Linked DNA regions of Xenopus tropicalis. The protein of the gene in region 4 purifies or fractionates together with the protein of the main gene of each other region. This does not show direct contact. Links are inferred from orthologs where the notes say so. Each region holds a gene or a part of one and is shown on either strand. Other genes may lie near its edges.

Region 1 (4,187 bases), about 110 Mb from region 4:
GACTTGAAAACGAACATTTTGCGACTTTTTCGTATGTTTTGCGATTTTTTCGGATTCTTTACGAATTTTTCGTTACCAATACGATTTGCGCGTAAAAACGCGAGTTTTTCGTAGCCATTACGAAAGTTGCGTAAAATCTGGCGATTTTTCGTAGCGTTAAAACTTGCGCAAAAAGTTGCGCTTTTTTCTTAGCGTTAAAACTTACGCGAAACTTTGCACCTTTTAAGTTTTAACGCTACGAAAAATGCGCAACTTTTCGCGTAAGTTTTAACGCTTCGAAAAATGCGCAACTTTCGTAATGGCTACGAAAAACTCGCGTTTTTACGCGCAAATCGTATTGGTAACGAAAAATTCGTAAAGAATCCGAAAAAATCGCAAAATACTGATCATTACGAAAAAAACGCAATCGGACTCATTTCGACCCGTTCGTGGGTAAGTAAATCAGCCCCTAAGCCTGCCTGATTTACCTTACGACTTTCTGTTGCCGATCCTTCGCTTGCCTGACTCTGATTTTCAATACTGCAGTAATTATTCTCTAATTTATTAGGAAATGGGGTTAACACCTAATCATGCATGGGAAAAAAAAAATACCGTCAAATACCGTGACACCGATATAATTTTGAAAAATACCGTGGTATAAATTTTTGGTCATACCGCCCAGCTCTACTTTAACGTTTCAGTTTTCCAATTAATATATACTGGAAGTTCCTCAGCACCCTGTGCTTAGGGGGTTAGGAAAGAAATGAGCTTGAAATATATATCATGATAATAAAAGTGATACTGGTGTTGACTTTTGTCAAGTAATACTGCTCGGTAAAACATAATATCAGTGACTTATATAGCACCAGAAAACTACAAAGCACTTTCCCCTCACAGAATCTATTAACCCTACAGTGCCCTGAAAGATTTCTGCGGCACTCAATTGCAAAATTACTCTGAGTACAGATGGTAACTTAGTTGCTTGAATCCTGAGAAACTAATTTCGAACATGCGAGCTACAATTGCCAGTTCGCACTTACTACTCCATCCTCCTTTTGGGGTGCAGCTTTGACACGAAATCCCACTGTGTCGCTTTCGTCGCTCTCTTGGTTTTGACAGCATTTCCGAGATCGCTGTCCCTTACGTTTTTTCTGAGCCATTTCCGCAATTCTAAGACTATATCTATATCGTCTTTAAAATAGCTCAGTTTAACCCCAGACCATCAGCGATCCTCTGAATGTACGAGCACGTCTATCCCCCACGTGTCTCACAGACACCCGGAAGGGATTGAGTACAACTTCCTGGAATGTACCACTTGGTGTCAGTGAACAGGGGACGGTGTGTTGCTATCGCACTTCTGTTGCCAGCTCTCTGCTGCCACATTTCTGCACTGCAAAACGGATGAGGAGCTGAAATACAGAAATGCGATACACTGTGTAACCTCTGTCCCTGCTCTCGGGTTTGGGTGAGTCCGAGTTGTAATGTGTATCATTACCATGGGAGCTGGGCAGAGCGTGTTACACACAGTTGTCTCTAGCTGCCTGTATAGCTGCCTGTATAGCTGCCTGTATAGCTGCATGTATACACTCATCTCGTCGGCTGAAAGAGGCTGCCTGCAGCAAGTCTATCGACTGCATGTGCCTAACATGATGCCAATGGTATAAACGTTTTGCCATCAGGTAATACTTCAAGTCATAAAGTTACATTTTTAAAAGTTATGGTTATATTCATTGATACATACTCATTTTCTACTCAGTTCTCAAAATTCCCCGCCCAGTTCACTAGTGTAGCCTTTTATTTTCTGGAGATTAGCCAAGTGTTTTGTATTCAGAAACTGCAACTTGTGTGACAGAACTCTAGCCAAATGTTGTTTGGCATTGGTTGAAAATCCTATAAGGCAAGGACTGCATTAAAACATTTGATTGGACAAGGTTGCTTAAAGAATATTTGCATGTATTGATTTGTATTGCTGTTTTTTGAGTTATAGTTTCCTGTACTGACATTTAGTCAGGCTTATGGGGTAGTGTGCTACAGCTTTGGTCAAATGGTTAAGCTAAATTGCACAATTAGACCTAACATCCAACTGGAATGGCAGCGGAGGCAAGTACTTCATAGGGCTTACGTAAGTCCGCAAGTGCAGCTGCGGTCCCTGCACTTTCCCTCCCAGTCAGTTGCATGGAAAACCACTTTCATTAAAGGAGAATGCAAGTCAAAATTTAAAAAGCATACTGCCCAAAGTCCTCCTATTGTTTAGTAAAAACGCCACACTTTTGGCTCACCTAATCAAATATTTACTCAGTCACACTTACTTCACATTTTCTAGAACAGGCAGCCATCTCTAAAAAGGTATTCTCCCTTCCTTTCCCTCCTTGCTTCATACTGCACATGTGTTTCATTCCCTCCCCCCTCCCCTCTGCCAGATCCGCTTCTGATTGGCTGGTGGGTATGTGTAGCTCAGAACAGGAGACAGGATTAGGTTGTACACATGCTCAGAGAATAGGAAGGAGAGAGATTTCAGAGATGTCACTGTAGGCTTCACACTGCTGTAGGCTGCCAGCACCATATCTCAGAGAAGCAAGCAGGGATCTGGGAATTTAGATATGCAGTAAGTACTTAAAAAAAAATGCCTTTAGACTTACTTTTAATTTATATTAACCTTTCATTGTCCTTTAAAGGTACTTGTGTCAAAATGCACTCCTTGCACTTTAGTAACGCTTGGCAACACTTGGCCCTTCCTGCCTTCCGTTTAGAACTGAGCGCTGCTGTACCTATTGACACAGGGGTAGCCTACCAAGCGGTAGCTTTAGATCTCCCTCAGTGCCTAGTGCTGGATTTCTGATTAGGGTGCCCATAGGCTGCCCCCATTCTCCAGCCTCCCCCCCCCCCACAGGATTGCGTGCATGCCCGTCCTTTTAGCTTACATACGGAGCACTGGGGACGGTAATAGCTGCAGTTTTCTGCATGTCCCGTCCTTAGTGCTCCACATGTGAGCAACATCTACATGTGGCTGGCCGGAATGCCGCCCCTAAATTTATGCCACCCTAGGTCTGGGTCTTTGTGGCCTTGCCCAAATCTGGCCCTGTCAGTGCCCTACATCAATCACCACAGTTTAGTTTCAGTAGGAGTATAGGGCAAACGCATCACAACACCAGGTAGACTTTGAAAAATTCTGTGCAGTGCTCCCAATTTGCTGCAAAGCACATGGCAAGTTCTGTCAGTTTTGCCAAATCAGATACAATTAAAAGGGTTGTTCACCTTTGTACAACATTCACAAATGTAACAGATCACATTAATAGAACAATCTTTTCCATATAGAAAGATAACAAAAAATTTGCAACTGAAGATATTTTCTAAAGAGAGCATTGTTGGTGGTTTAATAAGATTTGGACATTGGAGGTGAACAATCCTTTTAAGGTAGCCACAGTGCAATTGCGTCAAGAGCATCACTCCTTTGCTATCACAACGATGCCTAAATTCTGGGATAAAAATGCATGTTCTGCTGTCTATGTCTTTTATCTGCTTATACATGATACAGGATATATATGATATATAGACAAGTGAACATAAATAGATGATCATTATTAGTATATGAAAACAATGCATTTTTTGTATAGTATGTTTAAATAAATGTTGTATTTATTAAGTTATTCTATATTTTTAGGAGACATCTAAACAAGTATCAGTTTAGGCCTGCTTCTGAAATGTCTCTGGATCTCTCTATAACTGGGCATCGCACTGCACTTCCACAGCGCAAAAGCAGAAGCGCTTACCGGTTCAAAGCTGCCAACTCCTATGTTGACGAGACTCTGTTTGGTACCTCTGGGGTAAGAGTGGATCAAACTGTAAAGTGGAACACTGCACCACCTTGTCAGACACCCCTTCTGTGGAGCCCAGGAGAAATACAAAACAACAAAAACACCTTAAGCTGTAGGCCTAAAAGCACTCCACCAGGGACTCCCAGGAAAAAGATTCAGTACAGGTACTTTTGGACCGTTGCTAATTATTGATCCTGAAAAGGAGTGATGTTTCTAATATTCTCCTCTAATCTTTTAAGTGTCCTGCTTTGTAGACATCAATATATATATTTATGTTAAAGTCACTCTTATGGAGCATGTGATACAAATGCCACTTACATCTGTACTTCCTGTCCTCTAACACTAAGGGGCATATTTACTAATCCACGAATCCGAATCACGAATGGGAAAAAA
Region 2 (3,963 bases), on a different chromosome or scaffold from region 4:
ATGAAGGGCACTGTGTATGGGGGGGCACTGTGTATGGTGGGGCTCTGTGTATAAAGGGTACTGTATATAAAGGGTACTGTGTATGGGGGGTACTGTATATGGGGGGGCTCTGTGTATGAAGGGTACTGTGTATGGGGGGCACTGTATATGGGGGGGCTCTATGTATGAAGGGTACTGTGTATGGGGGGTACTGTATATGGGGGGCTCTGTGTATGAAGGACACTGTGTATGGGGGGATACTGTGTATGGGGGGTACTGTATATGGGGGGCTCTGTGTATGGGGGGCACTGTGTATGGGGGGGCTCTGTGTATGGTGGGGCTCTGTGTATAAAGGGTACTGTGTATGGGGGGCACTGTATATGGGGGGGCTCTATGTATGAAGGGTACTGTGTATGGGGGGTACTGTATATGGGGGCTCTGTGTATGAAGGGCACTGTATATGGGGGGGCACTGTGTATGGGGGGCTCTGTGGGCTTCCTTAGGTAGTACAGTATGAGGGTATAGCACATTTGCATCTGATCCCGCCATTTCAACTATATAAAAGGAGTATTTTTAGAAAAAAATGGCGTGTGTTAATTGGGGCGTGGTCACAAAAGTGGGCGTGACCAAAAAATTTTGCCGCGACGCGCGCGCCAAATCTTTTTGTCCCTCTTTTTGTTTTTCAAATGTTGGGAGGTATGATCTAACCTCGCTTTTGGTAAATTTTGGGGTATTTTATATTGTTCAAGCCAGGGCATGTACTGTGAATCTTTTGCTACCATACAGCGCTGAGGAATACCTTGGCATTTAAAAATTGAACAATATATCAAAAATATGTACCATTTAAAGCTCAGGGGGTGCCTGGAAAGTTTTCAAGCTAAATATAGCTGCAGCAGAGCATTGTGTTGATTTCAGTTTTGTTCATCAGAAGAAGCTGCCCTTCCTGCTATTTTTAGTGCCTCAACAGAATCTGATCTTTGTTCCAAAAGAAAAAAAAAAAAAATACACAAACCACTTGTTTTGCTTCTGAGCTGGGAATCTAGAGCAAACTCAGGGAGGAGCCGCTAAACTCTAATTGGCAAAGCTCCACCCTTCAACGTCAGCCAATCACTACCGCTCGCTTTGGATTGGTTTTCCGCATCCTCAACCTTTTTTTCCCCTCTCCGCCTACCGTAGGCAAAACACTGCTCCCGAAGATCCGTTTACAAAACACAGACGTCACTGTTTGGGCTCCGCCCACGCCAAGGTTTGATTGGTCGGCGGTCTCTGCCTATCAGCCGTGACGCTTGCACCCCTTTTACTCCGAGAGAAGAGTAGTTTCAAGATGGCGGACGCTCGGATAACAATGGCGAGCGGGCGGCGGGGGCGTTAGGGGGAGCTGCGAGGCGGGAGAGAAGTGGATACCGTGCGGGGGGGGGAAAGTGTTGCCATTGTCAGAGGAGGCTTTTCCTCAGGCCGGGGGTATGAGAGTGCTATTCCCGTAATAGTCCGGCTTCACCTCTCCCCACAGATGGCGGATTTTGTGGTCCCCCGACACAGCGCCGTGATGGAGCGCCTCCGCCGACGGATAGAGCTTTGCCGGCGGCACCACGGTACCTGCGAGTCGCGATACGAAGCCTTAGCTGGGGAGAGGCTGGAGCTAGAGAGGCAGCATACCTTCCAGTTACACCAGCGCTGCCTGCAGGCCAAGGCCAAGAGGGCCGGGAAGCACAGGCAGCAGGCTGTCTCTAGCGCCGAGTCCGGCCCGGGCAGGGGGAATCCCAGCACTACCGGCAGCCTGGATACCGACGGAGGCGGCGGCGGCAATGGCGAGCAGTGTAGGAACAGCACTCTCATCGCGGTAAGTGACGGCAGGGCTTCTGCGATCTTCCTGCAGGGGCATGGCAGCGATTTCTTACTCTAAACTCTTAGGGTGAAGCCACACGGAGCTACTAGTAGCAGCTACTTTTTTCAAGGCTACTAAACTCCCAAAAATACTGAGAATTGCCTCTGCTAAAACACATGTAGAGACAATTATCAGTAAATGATCAGCATTGTCTGTTTTAGTAGCCAAGAAAAGTAGCTGTTACTAGTAACTCCGTGTGGCTTCACCCTTAGGGTGAAGACACACGGAGCTACTAGTAGCAGCGACTTGTGCTGATCATTTACTGATAATTGTGTCTACGTGTGTTTTAGCAGAGGCAATTCTCAGTATTGTCTATGGCAGGGGATTTTCTGGTGTTTAGTAGCCGTGACAAGTAGCTGCTACTAAGTAGCTCTGTGTGTCTTCACCCTTGTTGAGGCATGGCAGGGATTTCTTACTCTGTGGCCTTTAAACTCTTAGGGTGAAGACACACGGAGCTACTAGTAGCAGCGACTTGTGGCTACTAAAATGCTGATCATTTACTGATAACTGTCTCTACGTGTGTTTTAGCAGAGGCAATTCTCAGTATTGTCTATGGCAGGGGATTTTCTGGCATTTAGTAACAGGAAAAAAGTTGCTGCTACTAGTAGCTCAGTGTGTCTTCACCCTTACTTTTTGAGGCATGGCAGGGATTTCTTACTCTGTGGCCTTTAAACTCTCTTAGGGTGAAGCCACACGGAGCTACTAGTAGCAGCTACTTGTGGCTACTAAAATGCTGATGATTTACTGATAAATGTCTCTACATGTGTTTTAGCAGAGGCGATTCTCTGTTTTGTCTATGGCAGGGGATTTTCTGGCATTTAGTATCAGGGAAAAGGTAGCTGCTACTTGTAGCTCAGTGTGTCTTCACCCTTGTTGAGGCATGGCAAGGATTTCTTACTCTGTGGCCTTTAAACTCTTAGGGCTCTGGCACACGGGGAGATTAGTCGCCCGCGACAAATCTCCCGTGTCTCGGGCGACTAATCTCCCCGGATTGCCATCCCACTGGCGAAAATGTAAATCGCCAGTGGGATGGCATACGCGGCGGCGCGATTTCAGCGAGATCGCGCAAGTTTCCTCTCGAGGCAACTTGCACGATATCTCACTGAAATCGCGTCACCACGTGTGCCATTCCACCGGCGACTTACACTTTCGCCGGTGGGATGGCAGGTGATGGCAACTCGGGGAGATTAGTCGCCTGAGACACGGGAGATTTGTCGCGGGCGACTAATCTCCCTGTGTGCCAGAGCCCTTAGGGTGAAGGCACACGGAGCTACTAGTAGCAGCTACTTGTGGCTACTAAAATGCTGATCATTTACTGATAATTGTCTCTAGCTGTGTTTTAGCAGAGGCAATTCTCAGTATTGTCTATGGCAGGGGATTTTCTGGCATTTAGTAGCAGGGAAAAAGTAGCTGCTGCTACTAGTAGCTCTGGGGATTGTAGCCCTGAGCTTGTATTGGGCATATGAGCTAGTTAGTAGCAGCTACTTTTTACAGCTACTAAACACCAGAAAATCCCCTGCCATGGACAATAATGGGAATTGCCTCTGCTAAAACACACGTAGAGACAGTTATCAGTAAATGATCAGCATTGTCTGTTTCAGTAGCTGCTACTAGTAGCTCAGTGTGTTTTCACCCTTACTTATACATACTTGTTGAGGCACGGCAGGGGTTTCTCCGGATTGTAGCCCTGAGCTTGTATTGGGCATATGAGCTACTTAGTAGCAGCTACTTGTTAGGGCTACTAAATACCAGAAAATACCCTGCCATAGACAATACAGAGAATTGCCTCTGCTTAAACACATGTAGAGACAATTATCAGTAAATGGTCAGCATTGTCTATTTTAATAGCCATGACAAGTAGCTGCTACTAGTAGCTCTGTGTGTCTTCACCCTTGTTGAGGCACGGAAGGGATTTCTCCGGATTGTAGCCCGGAGCTTGTATTGGGCATATGCTCTGACCCAGGATTTTTCACAGGTTCAACTTTCTCTTGGAGCAAGTAGTTAGAACAGGATAGCCTGTCTGTATGTTTATACTCAGCCAGCTAGCAGGAACACTCATCTGCACATGTCCATGTTGGACTAAGGGTGAAAACACACAG
Region 3 (4,033 bases), on a different chromosome or scaffold from region 4:
TAAGAAAATTGAATAATTCATCCCCTGTGCACCATGCACATGCAGAAATGTCTTTGCATTAATGTTCTTTCACTGGCTGTGAGTTTAACCCACGTGCTTGTCCCACTAAGCTCAATATGCTCTATGAAGTAGAAGTGTGACATTTATAACATGTTGTTTTATACATATATATATATATATATACTGCAGTTATCGGCATTCATAACTTAAAAAAAATATATAATTGTTGCATAATGTTAAAATTTCCAGATGGAAATAGGAAAATTAGGTTTTTATTTGTCATGTATCTTTAATCTTTGATTTTACTTTGTACTATATTGTGTATCTACTATGCCTTAAGTGCTCTTATAGTGAGGAGTGATAGATTCATAATTATGTACAGCTGGATGAGTACAATTCCCATTTCTGTTATTATTATTTGAACATCACTCTACTTAACTAAAATATCTTAGCCTTTTTGAGGGGCCCCATCTACAATCTTTTTGTGGGATAAGAGAGGGTGCTGTTTCGTCCATCTAATGTATTTTATTTTTTATTACTATTGTATATTGTTTAGGGATTGATTTGAGATCTCTTTCAATAAAGGTATTCATATTGCACTTCATATCCATCCAGTGTTTGTTGTTGGCGATGCAGAGCACAGCATTTTACATTTGTTTGGCCTTTGGCCATTGTTTAGATGATCATAAAGCAGTTGCTACTACTTGTCCTCTTATAAAGACAGGTCTGTTAAAAGGTTAAATCAGTTGACTCAGCTTCATATTGTATAGTTTATCACTCAGTTTCACTATGGTAAATGTATTAAGAACAGTGAGGGTCTCAACCCAATTTAAGAAAAGCACTTCATATCTTATACTCCAAACAAAATAAGGATGTATATACCTGGCAGAAATCTACAAACACTGGAATATTATTTTACAGTGGACTTGTGTCCTGAACTTTCATCTGAGGCAGGGAAAATGTTCTGTGATATTTAAGTGGGGTGTTAGGTTTCCTTAGGGCTTGAACTCCTGTGTTTTCATGGGGTGGCTAATTTAGAAATCTGAGTAGTTGCATGGGCATTTTATGTGTACACGATTTTTTCTGGACTCTATTCTTCTCTCAAAAGATAACCAAAAATGGTCTTGCTTTTCAAGTAGGATTAAACAAGAAATCCCTGGAGGGGGGTGTGAACATTTTGCATCTGACTCCTTATTAATAGCTCCCTGTATACATACATTATCAAACAGTACATTTGGTATCAACCAAAGAACAGACCACTTGGCTAAGGAGGCTGCTTGTGAATTTCTCGTTCCCAAATGGCATTTGAAAGGCATTCAGGTAAATAAATGTAGAACTTCCTCTGTTATTTTATTAACTCATAAATAATTTGTGCAGTGTATTATACATGAGATTTAAATATGTGACCAAATGACAGTGTTTACATACTGCAGCAAATATTTATGAACAGAATATTGTTTTAAAGTGTATCCTATTATATTCTACACAATTTTTATGTATTCAGACAGGATGCAAGTGGGGGTTTGAGGTATCTGTTGCAGATTAAATTTTGAAGCATGGAGACTAATTTTCATTTTGTGTATTTAAAAGGGATATTAGGCACAGCTAGAAGTAGTGATGGTATAGCTGAGTAAGTTAGTGTATTTTAGAGTTTGATTTTTGCATCAACGTGTCAATGTGTTACACAGCTGAGACACTAGAACAGCAGATAAACATGATCAGATTACAATAACCTGTGTGTGTTCAGACCACAAAGTGCTAAATTGCTTCCAATGGGTTTCTGTAGCATAGCTATAAATATATGTGTATATGAGTATATATATATGTATATAAATCAAAGGTTTCACACTCAACAGGAATTTTACAAAAAATCAAAAAGGCTTTATTTAAATTCCCAACGTTTTGGTCACACCTAGTGACCTATATCAAGGGAAAACAAAGAATAAATATAAATATACTGTATGCCATTACAGATCAGACACATTTGATGTTTGTATCTATTGATCATTCATTTAACATTTTCTTACACTCCACCTAACCCCTTAATGACTGAGTAAATGGTGTGGTAAAGACATTTCTGGTGATTGCCTTTTCCTCTGTTCTTACTGATACTGCAATGAGCCTGTTTAGCCTTTCTATTGTATCTGTAGTGTCTCAGGCCATTTTCCCTGTATATCAGACCCCTATATAAGCCAGTGAGCTCTTTGAGCTATTCCAGTGATCCCCGAACAGTGGCTCGTATGCAACATGTTGCTCACCAACCCCTTGGATGTTTCTCCCAGTGGCCTCAAAGCAGGTGCTTATTTTTTAATTAAGCTTTTTTAATTTTTTTAATTAAGTTTTTGTTGCATAAAAACCCCAGTGTAAAGCCAAACAGAACCTTCTGTAGGCTGCCAGATTGTATAGGGGCTACCAAATAGACAAACAAACCTCCAGCACCCCTGGAACTTTTTTCATACCTGTTTTGCTGAGTTTGTAATGCACATGCTGATTAATAAGTCAAAATTTCTACTAAAGTATAGTTACACTAATCCTTCCTTGCAGTAAGGCTTATTTATCTGTAGATTAGTGTTTATTCATATGACTTACGCTCTGAAGAGAATAAACATAAGGTCTTTAGGAGAATGTGGGTCTCATCTATTAATGGGACACAGTGTGGAATTCCAGTGGAAACCAAGTCTGCTGTGCCCTCACCTGCACTACAGCATATCACTCTTGGAGCTTAGCGTGCTCTCAGTACTTATCCTTTATATTGTGTGATTGATTCTTTTATAGATTCAGTTAAAACCTAGCATGTAACCTGTTAGGGAATATATGAATAATAGGGCAGTAATTGGCAATAAAGATGACTTCATTGTTCATAAATGGCAACTGAAGCTCCACAGTGCAAGGTTTAGCTGTTGTCTGGGCAACAGGCTGAAGAGCAAACATATCCTAAATAAATGACTCTGATATGGAGCGGACAAATGCTGTGTGGGGTTTATCATGCAGCCTGTGACAGCTCCGTCAGAACTCAGGCACGCCATTGTTTGTACTGCATCTGTCACTTTTCTCTAGATATCCTCTGACATAAGGCAAGCCTTCCAAGCAACTGGCCAGGTTTTTATTTGGAGCAGTTTGTTGTTAGGATACAAAGAGATGTCAGGGGATAAATTGTTTGCGATCTGCAAGTCCAGGCCAAATTTACATAAAGGGTTAGTTCATACTTTTATTCTGTTATCGAAGCCCTTTTTGTACTCTAAAAGGCAACCTCCTTTAGTCAAACCTCATGGGATGCCCTTGTATCCTCTGTATTGTCCTTCCATATAGTCATAAATAGTGATCCTAACTCTAAAAGCACTGGTTCTCCTTTGGAACAAACCCAACTTGGCCAGTATTTTTTTAATGTCTTAGACTTTCCATATCCTTTGAGTTTTGTTACTGTTTTCTGAACCTTCCTTTATCAATGACATCCCTTTAAAAAAACTGGAGACCAAAACCACACAGTTTCTTATAGATGGGCCCTTTTCAGTGCTTCTTAAAATCACTAGTTACCCTTGCAGGACTGAGGATGTTTAGCAATGTTGGACTGAGATGCCAGGGGCCTACCAGAAAGGCTTGGATCACAGCCCTACTGTCTATACTTTTGATTTACTATTTACTCACCTTATTTATGTTACATACACTCATCTATCCTGCTCTCCATAGTTTCTATATCCCCTTTTCTCATACAGGAATGAGGAATGGCAGTGATATAGGCATACAAAACCACCAATCACCTGGGTCCACCAAGGGGTTTTCTTGGCACCCTGATAGGCCAGGCATAATCAGAAGGAACAGATCAAGATAAATAATAAGAAGTTACAGGAAGAACTTTGGAGACGTAGAATTTATTTTTAAAGGAGAAGGAAAGGCTAAGTCACTTGGGGTGCCAAAATGTTAGGCACCCCCAAGTGAATTAAATCGCTTACCTTGTACCCCGGGCTGGTGCCCCTGTTAGGAGAAAACAGCACCAGCCCGGGGTACCTGCAGCAAGCGATTCCTTCTTCCGCGT
Region 4 (3,500 bases):
TTTGGCTGCAGTGCAGGTGTTTTTCTTTCTGTTGGGACCTCAACTTAATATCCTCATTATCTCATGATCAGGTAACCTATGGCTGATCAGTAGCAGCTGCTGATTAAACTACAATTCTCACAGTACCTTGTGTAAATAATCAAGGAGTAGCTTGAACAAGGTTAGCTCCCAGACAGAAATAAGAGGGTAGTATGTCAGTTAATATATGTTTAAAGGGCCAAAAACATAAAAAAATCCTCTTTATTATCTCTTATATCTATTCAATGTGGATAGAAAATTACAAAACTGAAGTTATAATTATTATTACTGATATTAGAAAGTAAGTGAGCACCTTTTTTTAAAACTGAGGGTATCTTCAAAATTACATAGAAGTCATGAAAATTACACCCAGAAAGCAATTGCAAATTAGCTTTAATTTGACAGCATTGTAAAATCATTAAGCTGATATTAAATGATTCCAAGCAATGAAAGTAGTTTAGAGTTCTAAACAGGGCTGTGGAGTCGGAGGCAATTTTGGGTACCTGGAGTCGGAGTCAGCAAAAAATGAACCGACTCCGACTCCTACTAAATTTAAATGGGAATAAAAAATAAAAAAAATAAAGCAAGTTTAAATGTCCCAAGTCACAAACAGTCATAATTAATTACTTCTCTGCTATAAGAATAAAGCCCAATGCACGCAGTGCATAAACGAACACGTTGAGTGACCATGAAGCATGCTTTTCATTGACTGTATGAATGTATAAAATACATTAACATATTAAAAACAGAGGAGTCGGAGAATTTATCTACCGACTCCACAGCCCTGGTTCTAAAAGGCCATACAAATGCAGTTTACTTTACCTGAAGGCTTTCTACTACAGGCACTGGAGTCACTGGAGCATTTACTGGCCCCATGCCTTCATAGAAAGTGTATTCTGCCTTATCTGTGCTAATGATTGTCCAAGAGGCACCATCGTTAATCATCTCTTTATTTGGTTCTTTGGGACATGGAGTGGCCTGAAACACAATGTGTAAACAGGTCATATACTTTGCATATAGCATCAGAATTAAACATACTCATAATGATGTAACTGTCAGTATAATAAAGAAATGCCTTATGTCAATTAATTGAATAGCAGGCCAAAAATTCAAAAAGGTGTCTCTCCAGCTGGAACATGTCGGTCTTTCTGTAAAGGTAAATTCAACAAGCACCAATACCCTGCCTAGCATGCATATGAAAGGTGCCACCCACTGCTTGCACTCCAAAAGCCTTACAAGTTGGCACAAGTCACGCAAAGTTGAACTTAGAGTAAAATATTGATTACTTTACCTTTTAGTGTTCCTCGGAACTGAAAAATATATTACGTACTAAACTGGTCCTAACTTTAACAGTGAAATAGCTCAGAGACCTGTGCAATGAACAATTGCGGTGTGGCTAAACTGACTTTCTCTGGTGCTCTGAACTTGCCCATGGCTAAAGAGAGGAGGGACTTTCTAGTAAGTTAATACTTCTGCAAGGTACAGTATTGCACCTCCTTATTAGTTCTGTGGTGCTGCCAGAAATCAACTCTAAAATTGCAGAGAACTCATACAGTCTTGCGCAATGTTAGGGAGCTGCTTGCTTAAAAAATCCCAGAGACCAGTGGAATCAGCTACATTTGATTTCACCAAAGACATAAAAAGACTATGTAACAGAGCAGTAAATCTTTCACATCCCTACTCACTTGAAACTGGATAATTCTTTCCTGAGAAAGGCACAAGTACATTCTTTCTGTATCCTTCAGATAAAATGCACATTTATGGAGCTGGGATACAGGATCATCTGCATCTAACAATGCCGTCTGTTTATCCACTTTGCGGATAATCTGCAAAAAAGACAAGAATTATATTTTTACATCAGCATTAATAACATAGTTAAGCTGGCCAAACACACTGATATAATCGAACAAAACTACATTTCATATGATTTTCAGACAGTGTGTGGGCTCAGAATTATCGCCCCTATAATTTTCATTTCATGCCAATCGGTCAGGTTAGAAAATTTCAGTCATATAACAATAGAATCTATGCACGTGTTGTGTATCTGACAATATCCTAGGGAGACCTACAATGCACTTCTGGGACATCACTTTCGTATGATTGGCGTCCGCAAATTTTATGTTCAGAACATCCTCTGATTTGTTATTTTTAGGACTTTATCCTACAATTTCAATCTGAATGTTAGTTTTAGATTTTTGCATTTAAATATATGATCGATATCCGATGTTCACCGTAAAAGAAGTCTAAAACCTTGCACATGTATGTCCACATTTAGAATTCGTAAACCTGTTTAAAACATTTTGATCTGTGTGTAATTTAAAAAACAAAACGGATAGTTTACCAGTCGTGGGAGTGCCATGCCAGTTACCGAACATACAAGCTTCACCGTCTGTCCATAGTGAATGTAACCGTCACGCACTGTGAATTCCTCTCCTTCAGACTCTTCGTCATCCACTAAGAAAAGATGGAACACACACAATCAGTTGTAGGACTATTAGATCTCATACACATGGTGGGCATATTTCCAATTGCCTATCCACTTTTTCTACAGTGCAGTTTTGCAAACCACTGCTTTAGAGAAAGGTTAATTCTACAGGCTGTCTTTCAACAACAGACAATCTATTTTGGCTTTGTTGACTACTTACAAAGGTGAATGTAGAAAGCTCCCCACTGTTGCGAGCTGGCGTGGAAGTTGCCGCCTTCTACGTGCAGATATCTTGTGCTGACTGTCTGTGATCGCAGCCGGTTAAATAGTGCCACTTTTGTCCCTGACGCAATACATACTGAAACATAAAACATATTAATATAGCTGAATAGGCAAATCCTTTATGCCATCATCTAAAAGCAACCTCTGCACTAAGCAAATCATATTTAAAATATACACCATAAATATGGCAAGGATAGGCTACAGATATAGAAGGCCACCACTAACATACTTACTGTCCCTTTAAATTCTTCCCTGAAGTATTTGGTACATTAACTACAACAATACTTATTTTGTATCAATAATGCAAAAAGATCAGTAACAAATTATACCTTTATTAAATGATTTATTTTCCCTTTTCTTAACTGCTTTCTTTTAAACAATACAACTATATACACCCTATTCCCACTGTACGCATGAAGGCCTCACTCAGTTCTGATGTAAACAAAGCTCAACCTTTTAACTACAACGCAGGTATAAAACAAAACAGAAAGCATCTAAACATTTAAGGGAAGCAGTTTACTGTGGACAAAAACACACCCTTATGTGCAAGTGTAAAGTAGCATTCTTCATTGAAAACAACAGCTGCGCCCACAGCTTTGCCTTTAGTGTAATGGCACATGGAATCACCCCCATTCAAACTCGATGGGAACTGCCACCAAGCGCCAGGTCCTGTCTAATGACAAATATGTATCACCCAAAAACATACGCTGCAGCTATGGGTCAATAAGTTCAAACAGATTTATCAGTAAAGTAAAACCTGCTGCTATCTAAAACA
Region 5 (4,295 bases), on a different chromosome or scaffold from region 4:
CCAAAGGAACTAACCTATTTATTCTCTTTTTTCTAATAGATTTTGATCCGTAACAGAGTCACAGACCTCGATGCGAGGATGAATGATGGTACAACCCCTCTCATCTTAGCTGCCCGCCTTGCTGTGGAAGGGATGGTTGCAGACTTAATAAACTGCCAGGCTGATGTTAATGCAGTGGATGATCATGGTAAGAAGTCAAATCATGCTGTCAGATTAGTTTAACCATATTGCTGGAGCTCTCTGGAAGCATTCTGGAATTGTTTGAGGATCATCATCAGACCGCATTGAAGGACAGCCTTCTGGGTACATGAAAGTAGGGTCTATAGCTGATTTTTCTCTACATGGGAAATATGCACACAAGGAAAATGCTTACTTTTTATTAATGTCCACACCATCAAGGTGTCTGCTCTGTCTGCTGTTCAAAAATTCAGTTCTCTCTAGAAATCATGGGCTGTGCAGGCTTTCTCTATTTTATTGGACAGACCTCTGTGTGGCTTGTGTATTGGCCATTTTTGTCTTTTCTTATTATGGTTAGGTATCATGCAGGAACACTGTTCCAGAGGAGCTTCCTACAAAACAGATTGATATATAAGAATAAAGTCTTTAGTATGAACATGCATTGGATGTGTTCTCCTACAAGGGGCCTTTGCAACCTGTAATATTTTGTTATGTTGTGGTTTCTGGTGTCTAACAGCTACGCTTTTCCATCAAAGGATTCTTAGATCATAACTGTAAATGAGGTCTTGATGCCTATAATGAAACAATGGGCTCCTGAGCAAACCTTGGAGCTTGTGCAGCTTCCAACAGGACCTCTATTTTTTTATACTAGAAACATGTTTATATCCATTCTAATTTAGTTTTACTGTGTTTGGTAGGAGCATTACCGAAGTAGGGAACTGACCTATAGTGGTTTTAGAAGATATATCTTGCAAAACCCATTTTTACATGTAAATAATAAAGGACAAGTAGAAGTCCATAAAAGTGAGACCTTAGGAAATAATTACCACCTGTATATTTTCTTTATTGTTATCCAGGGACTGTGCCTCTGTCAACTTTGTAAGCCTTACCAATACTGACATGATACTGATGATAGTTTCTATACATTGTACAAAGACTGACTAGTATTATCAGACATATTTTATTGCAGTTTGCCATTTTGCCATATCTAAATGATTTTTCCACCTACAGGTAAATCTGCACTTCACTGGGCTGCTGCAGTAAACAATGTTGAGGCTACAATTGTTCTGCTAAAGAATGGAGCAAATAGGGATATGCAAGACAACAAGGTAAACATCTTGGAATGTGCTGTTAGATATTAAAGCATATAGACATGTTGCAGTATTTCCGAGCTCTCTGCTGGTCCAGAGTTTAAGGAAAATAGATGAAATTTGGTTGATTTAACTATTTTGAATGTTTGGAATCTGGCAAAATGCGTTCTGCATGTTTGTTTAGAGAAGTGTTCATCATTAAGTGTGAAATATGTACCCTGCTGCTGTTTAATGTACCTTTAGTAGAAAGTATCACAATGGATAACTATATTTCTTCTTTTGTTGATGTAGGAAGAAACACCCTTGTTTCTTGCTGCTAGAGAGGGTAGTTTTGAAGCAGCCAAAATGCTTTTGGATTACTTTGCAAACCGAGAAATCACTGACCATATGGATCGTCTTCCCCGTGACATTGCCAAGGACAGAATGCATCATGACATTGTGCGCCTGTTGGACGAGTATAACTTGGTGCACAGCCCACAAGGACAGCCTGGTACAATGCTTTCAAATTCCCTGTCGCCAGCAGTGTGTGGCTCCAACAGATCTTTCCTGAACCTGAAACATGCCGCACAAACAAAGAAGGCCAGAAGGCCAAGTGCCAAAAGTGTAGCACCTCGAAGTCTTCCAAACTTAGCCAAAGAACCAAAAGATACCAAAAACAGGAGGAGGAAAAAGTCAGATACTGACAGTAAAGCGCAGCTTTCTGAAAGCTCAGTAACATTATCCCCTGTGGATTCTCTTGAATCCCCCCATGCTACTTCATCTCCTACCATTACATCTCCTGGAGCGCTGCATACGTCCCCTGGACAGATGATTGCAGCCTCTACGTTGCAGCCACCACGCACAACAATGTCTTTAACTAATCTTCAGCCCGTTGGTTGTGCAGCCAATAATATGCTGCCTTCTGTTGGACAGTTGTTATCACACTCGGCTCAAAATAATGTTCTTACAGCACAAAGACAGCTCACTATGTCATCTGATTGGCTGAGCCGCATGGAAAGGAATGACACCCAGTATAATGAAATGTTTGGTATAGTCCACCATGACACAAATAACCACTCATGTATTCCTCAACAAAATGGTATTATCCAAGCAGATATCAAGCCAACACTGCATATGGGTGTGGCTCGGGATGCTTTGCCTCCTATTATGACTTTCCAGCTTATCCCAAAGAGTGGAATGAACCAGCAGTCTGGCATCCAGACACTTGTGCAGCAGGCTAGTCATGGTCAGAATGTGGCTGCCATGTATCAGATTCCTGATAGAGCACGGATCACTGGCTCTTCTGTTCCTATAGCAATGATGCATCAACATGATGGACAGTTATCTCAAACTATGCTCACAGCTTACCATCCCCTTCAGAACCCAATGGGAAAATATCCAACCCCACCATCACAACACAGCTACACTTCCACTGATAAAACCCCAAACCATAATGGACATTTACCCGGAGAGCACCCTTACTTGACCCCTTCACCAGAATCTCCAGATCAGTGGTCCAGCTCCTCACCTAACTCTGCCTCTGATTGGTCAGATGTAACTACAAGTCCGACCCCTAATGGCAATCAAAGAATGCCTGCCACACATATGCCTGAACAATCACACAATGGCATGCAGATTTATGCATAGGACACGGTGCAATTTACGTTTAATCGTTGAACAAATGAAGGCTATTGGAGGCAATTTATACTTTCAGAAGTTGCTTCATCTGCAGCATCTGTTTATGTATTTCCTTGTACCACACAGGTACCTATTTCAATTGCAGGTGCTCTTTTTTGTTATATAACACAAGTGTTGTACAGACTGTACTAAAGCTTCCTGTCTGAACAAAGGATCGAGACTGAATTCATACAATGTCTAGTAAAAACAGAAACTGCTCAGATCAATTTTTCAACATCTGGGCGCAAAGAACATTTTTAGTGCCTTATTTAGAGACAAGGGTCAGTCCAAATGTGAGATAGCCTTTCAGGAGACATTGCACTGCTCACACTGGCGCGTCTGTACTTTTCTTGCTCACCTGGAATATCTGAAGATCAAATCAATGTGCAAATTCACATTCATTCCAGTAGATGTGCAACTTGTTAATTAGCCACAGGCGGGGAGCACCTGTCAGTCCCATTTACAAGGGATGTATGTGTATATATATATATATAACTACATGTTTAAATGTAAAATATCATTTGAATGTTTTGTACTCTCAGCCTTTTAATACCAGTTTATGTCAATATTCCTTTTATAACTTATCCAGCTCATTCCACTTTTAATGCTGTATTTAAAAAAAGGAAAAAGTTGACTTTTGTTTGGCAGCAGAAATGTTCTAGCAACTTCTGTGCCCAGTGGATTCTGTTACAATGTCACGTGATGTTTTTGGGAAGGTTTATGTATATGCGGACATGTCGTGACGCGGGAATCTAACGAGCAGCCATCGACTTGTATTTAATATAAACGTCTGATCTTTTCTACCTTTTTTTTGTCTGTTACAAATGCTCATTATTGTGTGTTTTATAGAAAGTAAAGAACTTTTCCAGTACTCTGGCACGGTCTGAGCAGTTGGACGCAAAGCACTTAGCCAAACAAAGCCTCCTTTTGTTCTTCCACTTTTTTAGTTTGTCTGCCAAAAGCACCTCGTGCAGGAAGCTGTACTCTGTTTTTCTGCATATTTTATTTTCTGTACTTACTTTATATGGTGCTGCATTGTTCAGTTTAATCCCAGAACACCCAATACAGCATTTGCTAGATATATATATATATATATATATATATATATATATATATATATATATATATATATCATAGGAAGAAGAGAAGTGGCATCATTTAGCTGATATGGAACTATCCTGAATTTTTCCTTTCAAACATAAATCTTAAATCACTGGGAAAAAGCATTCTCGAATTTTGATTAATAAGCCCCATAATTCTACAATGAGTACATGTGGAATAAGATGGGAGTGTGGGTGCGGTATGAGGGAGTACAGAGTGGGATGACAAGATGGTTTCTCTTTCAGTTTGCTTCTACTCTTCATTCTGTTT
Region 6 (3,264 bases), on a different chromosome or scaffold from region 4:
AGCAGGAAGTACAGAGAATCAGAGCTCTGTACCTGGGTAAGTACTGGGGGGAGATTGGATTCACTTACCATGGGGGAGGTTCCTGCCTGACCATGGGAAAGAGAGCAGCCCAGGAGCAGGAAGTACAGAGAATCAGAGCTCTGTACCTGGGTAAGTACTGGGGGGAGATTGGATTCACTTACCCAGGGGGAGGTACCTGCCTGACCATGGGAAAGAGAGCAGCCCAGGAGCAGGAAGTACAGAGAATCAGAGCTCTGTACCTGGGTAAGTACTGGGGGGAGATTGGAGTCACTTACCCAGGGGGAGGTTCCTGTCTGACCATGGGAAAGAGAGCAGCCCAGGAGCAGGAAGTACAGAGAATCAGAGCTCTGTACCTGGGTAAGTACTGGGGGGAGATTGGATTCACTTACCCAGGGGGGAGGTACCTGCCTGACCATGGGAAAGAGAGCAGCCCAGGAGCAGGAAGTACAGAGAATCAGAGCTCTGTACCTGGGTAAGTACTGGGGGGAGATTGGATTCACTTACCCGGGGGAGGTACCTGCCTGACCATGGGAAAGAGAGCAGCCCAGGAGCAGGAAGTACAGAGAATCAGAGCTCTGTACCTGGGTAAGTACTGGGGGGAGATTGGATTCACTTACCCAGGGGGGGGGTTCCTGCCTGACCATGGGAAAGAGAGCAGCCCAGGAGCAGGAAGTACAGAGAATCAGAGCTCTGTACCTGGGTAAGTACTGGGGGGAGATTGGATTCACTTACCCAGGGGGGGGTTCCTGCCTGACCATGGGAAAGAGAGCAGCCCAGGAGCAGGAAGTACAGAGAATCAGAGCTCTGTACCTGGGTAAGTACTGGGGGGAGATTGGATTCACTTACCCAGGGGGGGGGTTCCTGCCTGACCATGGGAAAGAGAGCAGCCCAGGAGCAGGAAGTACAGAGAATCAGAGCTCTGTACCTGGGTAAGTACTGGGGGGAGATTGGATTCACTTACCCAGGGGGGGGGTTCCTGCCTGACCATGGGAAAGAGAGCAGCCCAGGAGCAGGAAGTACAGAGAATCAGAGCTCTGTACCTGGGTAAGTACTGGGGGGAGATTGGAGTCACACCAAATATACCACAACACCAATCACTGCTCTAGCCTGGAAATAGTAATATCTGCCCCAGCAGTTGGGCACCTACCTGAGATTGCCCGCCACGAGGATGAGGACAGGAACCAGTAATAGTGGGCTTAGACCATGACCACTGCTCCAGGTCCAGTACCCACACATCATTGCTCCTGGGAGGGGGGACACAGATAATGGGGGTACAGTAAGTAACTAAATGCCCCACAGGACTGAGGAATAAAGTGACAGAATCTGCTACAACCCCAATACCACAAGGTCACTTATATGCTATGGGGCAGAGTAAGGCTTACTACTGACTGGCTGCTATGGGCAGAGTAAGGCTCACTACTGACTGGCTGCTATGGGCAGAGTAAGGCTTACTACTGACTGGCTGCTATGGGGCAGAGTAAGGCTTACTACTGACTGGCTGCTATGGGCAGAGTAAGGCTTACTACTGACTGGCTGCTATAGGGCAGAGTAAGGCTCACTACTGACTGGCTGCTATGGGCAGAGTAAGGCTCACTACTGACTGGCTGCTATGGGCAGAGTAAGACTCACTACTGACTGACTGCTATGGGCAGAGTAAGGCTAACTACTGACTGGCTGCTATGGGCAGAGTAAGGCTCACTACTGACTGGCTGCTATGGGGCAGAGTAAGGCTCACTACTGACTGGCTGCTATGGGCAGAGTAAGGCTCACTACTGACTGGCTGCTATGGGGCAGAGTAAGGCTCACTACTGACTGGCTGCTATAGGGCAGAGTAAGGCTCACTACTGACTGGCTGCTATGGGCAGAGTAAGGCTTACTACTGACTGGCTGCTATGGGGCAGAGTAAGGCTTACTACTGACTGGCTGCTATGGGGCAGAGTAAGGCTTACTACTGACTGGCTGCTATGGGGCAGAGTAAGGCTCACTACTGACTGGCTGCTATGGGGCAGAGTAAGGCTCACTACTGACTGGCTGCTATGGGCAGAGTAAGGCTCACTACTGACTGGCTGCTATGGGCAGAGCAAGGCTCACTACTGACTGGCTGCTATGGGCAGAGTAAGGCTCACTACTGACTGGCTGCTATGGGCAGAGTAAGGCTTACTACTGACTGGCTGCTATGGGCAGAGCAAGGCTACTGACTGGCAGAGTAAGGCTCACTACTGACTGGCTGCTATGGGCAGAGCAAGGCTTACTACTGACTGGCTGCTATGGGGCAGAGTAAGGCTCACTACTGACTGGCTGCTATGGGCAGAGTAAGGCTTACTACTGACTGGCTGCTATGGGCAGAGTAAGGCTTACTACTGACTGGCTGCTATGGGCAGAGTAAGGCTTACTACTGACTGGCTGCTATGGGCAGAGCAAGGCTTCACTACTGACTGGCTGCTATGGCAGAGTAAGGCTCAACTACTGACTGGCTGCTATGGGCAGAGTAAGGCTTACTACTGACCTGGCCGCTGCTATGGGCAGAGCAAGGCTCACTACTGACTGGCAGAGTAAGGCTCACTACTGACTGGCTGCTATGGGCAGAGCAAGGCTTACTACTGACTGGCTGCTATGGGGCAGAGTAAGGCTCACTACTGACTGGCAGAGTAAGGCTCACTACTGACTGGCTGCTATGGGCAGAGCAAGGCTCACTACTGACTGGCTGCTATGGGCAGAGTAAGGCTCACTACTGACTGGCTGCTATGGGCAGAGTAAGGCTTACTACTGACTGGCTGCTATGGGCAGAGCAAGGCTCACTACTGACTGGCAGAGTAAGGCTCACTACTGACTGGCTGCTATGGGCAGAGCAAGGCTTACTACTGACTGGCTGCTATGGGGCAGAGTAAGGCTCACTACTGACTGGCAGAGTAAGGCTCACTACTGACTGGCTGCTATGGGCAGAGTAAGGCTTACTACTGACTGGCTGCTATAGGTTACTATAAAGCTACTTGCTAACTGGTTGCTGAAGGCTGCAGCCGATTGGTTGCTGTTGGTAGAGTTCTGCTAGCTGCTGTACCACTAACGCTATCTGCTGATTGGCTGCTGCTTGGCCCATGCCAGTTGTACTTTCCCATCTCTCCCCGCTCAGTGTAAGTTCTGCTCTAGTCGAACGAATAGGCAAGAAAATAGAAAATATCTACTCACATTTGGCGAGAGCCCAAGGAGCCCCCAAACACTATCATCTTATCTCCAATGACGCAG

The links.
Region 1: the proteins of rbpj (region 4) and rita1 purify together in Homo sapiens (affinity purification with mass spectrometry; 4 studies listed by BioGRID and IntAct, with this or other methods). This does not show direct contact. The link is inferred for Xenopus tropicalis from reciprocal best matches to the Homo sapiens genes RBPJ and RITA1.
Region 2: the proteins of rbpj (region 4) and maml1 purify together in Homo sapiens (co-immunoprecipitation; 12 studies listed by BioGRID and IntAct, counting the BioPlex papers as one, with this or other methods). This does not show direct contact. The link is inferred for Xenopus tropicalis from reciprocal best matches to the Homo sapiens genes RBPJ and MAML1.
Region 3: the proteins of rbpj (region 4) and fhl1 purify together in Homo sapiens (affinity purification with western blotting; 4 studies listed by BioGRID and IntAct, with this or other methods). This does not show direct contact. The link is inferred for Xenopus tropicalis from reciprocal best matches to the Homo sapiens genes RBPJ and FHL1.
Region 5: the proteins of rbpj (region 4) and notch2 purify together in Homo sapiens (affinity purification with mass spectrometry; 3 studies listed by BioGRID and IntAct, counting the BioPlex papers as one, with this or other methods). This does not show direct contact. The link is inferred for Xenopus tropicalis from reciprocal best matches to the Homo sapiens genes RBPJ and NOTCH2.
Region 6: the proteins of rbpj (region 4) and fbxo42 purify together in Homo sapiens (affinity purification with mass spectrometry; 3 studies listed by BioGRID and IntAct, counting the BioPlex papers as one, with this or other methods). This does not show direct contact. The link is inferred for Xenopus tropicalis from reciprocal best matches to the Homo sapiens genes RBPJ and FBXO42.

The regions. Positions count from the first base shown.
Region 1 is NC_030677.2:145,154,659-145,158,845, forward strand, and holds the start of rita1 (RBPJ-interacting and tubulin-associated protein 1), read left to right. Parts: upstream 1-1,387; 5' UTR 1,388-1,658; intron 1,659-2,288; coding exon of another isoform or gene 2,289-2,315; exon of another isoform or gene 2,316-2,320; intron 2,321-3,640; 5' UTR 3,641-3,680; coding exon 3,681-3,958; intron 3,959-4,187. Other genes in the region: ATP-dependent RNA helicase DDX54, read right to left, coding at 1,020-1,139. UniProt on the Homo sapiens protein: Tubulin-binding protein that acts as a negative regulator of Notch signaling pathway.
Region 2 is NC_030679.2:12,091,845-12,095,807, reverse strand, and holds the start of maml1 (mastermind-like protein 1), read left to right. Parts: upstream 1-1,163; 5' UTR 1,164-1,489; coding exon 1,490-1,819; intron 1,820-3,963. UniProt on the Homo sapiens protein: Acts as a transcriptional coactivator for NOTCH proteins. Has been shown to amplify NOTCH-induced transcription of HES1. Enhances phosphorylation and proteolytic turnover of the NOTCH intracellular domain in the nucleus through interaction with CDK8.
Region 3 is NC_030684.2:68,791,434-68,795,466, forward strand, and holds the start of fhl1 (four and a half LIM domains protein 1), read left to right. Parts: upstream 1-1,233; 5' UTR 1,234-1,298; coding exon 1,299-1,320; intron 1,321-4,033.
Region 4 is NC_030677.2:32,051,653-32,055,152, reverse strand, and holds part of rbpj (recombining binding protein suppressor of hairless), read right to left. Parts: intron 2,802-3,500; coding exon 2,664-2,801; intron 2,473-2,663; coding exon 2,360-2,472; intron 1,845-2,359; coding exon 1,704-1,844; intron 997-1,703; coding exon 841-996; intron 1-840. UniProt on the Homo sapiens protein: Transcriptional regulator that plays a central role in Notch signaling, a signaling pathway involved in cell-cell communication that regulates a broad spectrum of cell-fate determinations.
Region 5 is NC_030680.2:117,858,467-117,862,761, reverse strand, and holds the end of notch2 (neurogenic locus notch homolog protein 2), read left to right. Parts: intron 1-39; coding exon 40-187; intron 188-1,188; coding exon 1,189-1,286; intron 1,287-1,559; coding exon 1,560-2,894; 3' UTR 2,895-3,795; downstream 3,796-4,295. UniProt on the Homo sapiens protein: Functions as a receptor for membrane-bound ligands Jagged-1 (JAG1), Jagged-2 (JAG2) and Delta-1 (DLL1) to regulate cell-fate determination.
Region 6 is NC_030683.2:132,640,700-132,643,963, forward strand, and holds part of fbxo42 (F-box only protein 42), read right to left. Parts: coding exon 3,208-3,264; intron 1,266-3,207; coding exon 1,169-1,265; intron 1-1,168. UniProt on the Homo sapiens protein: Substrate-recognition component of some SCF (SKP1-CUL1-F-box protein)-type E3 ubiquitin ligase complex. Specifically recognizes p53/TP53, promoting its ubiquitination and degradation.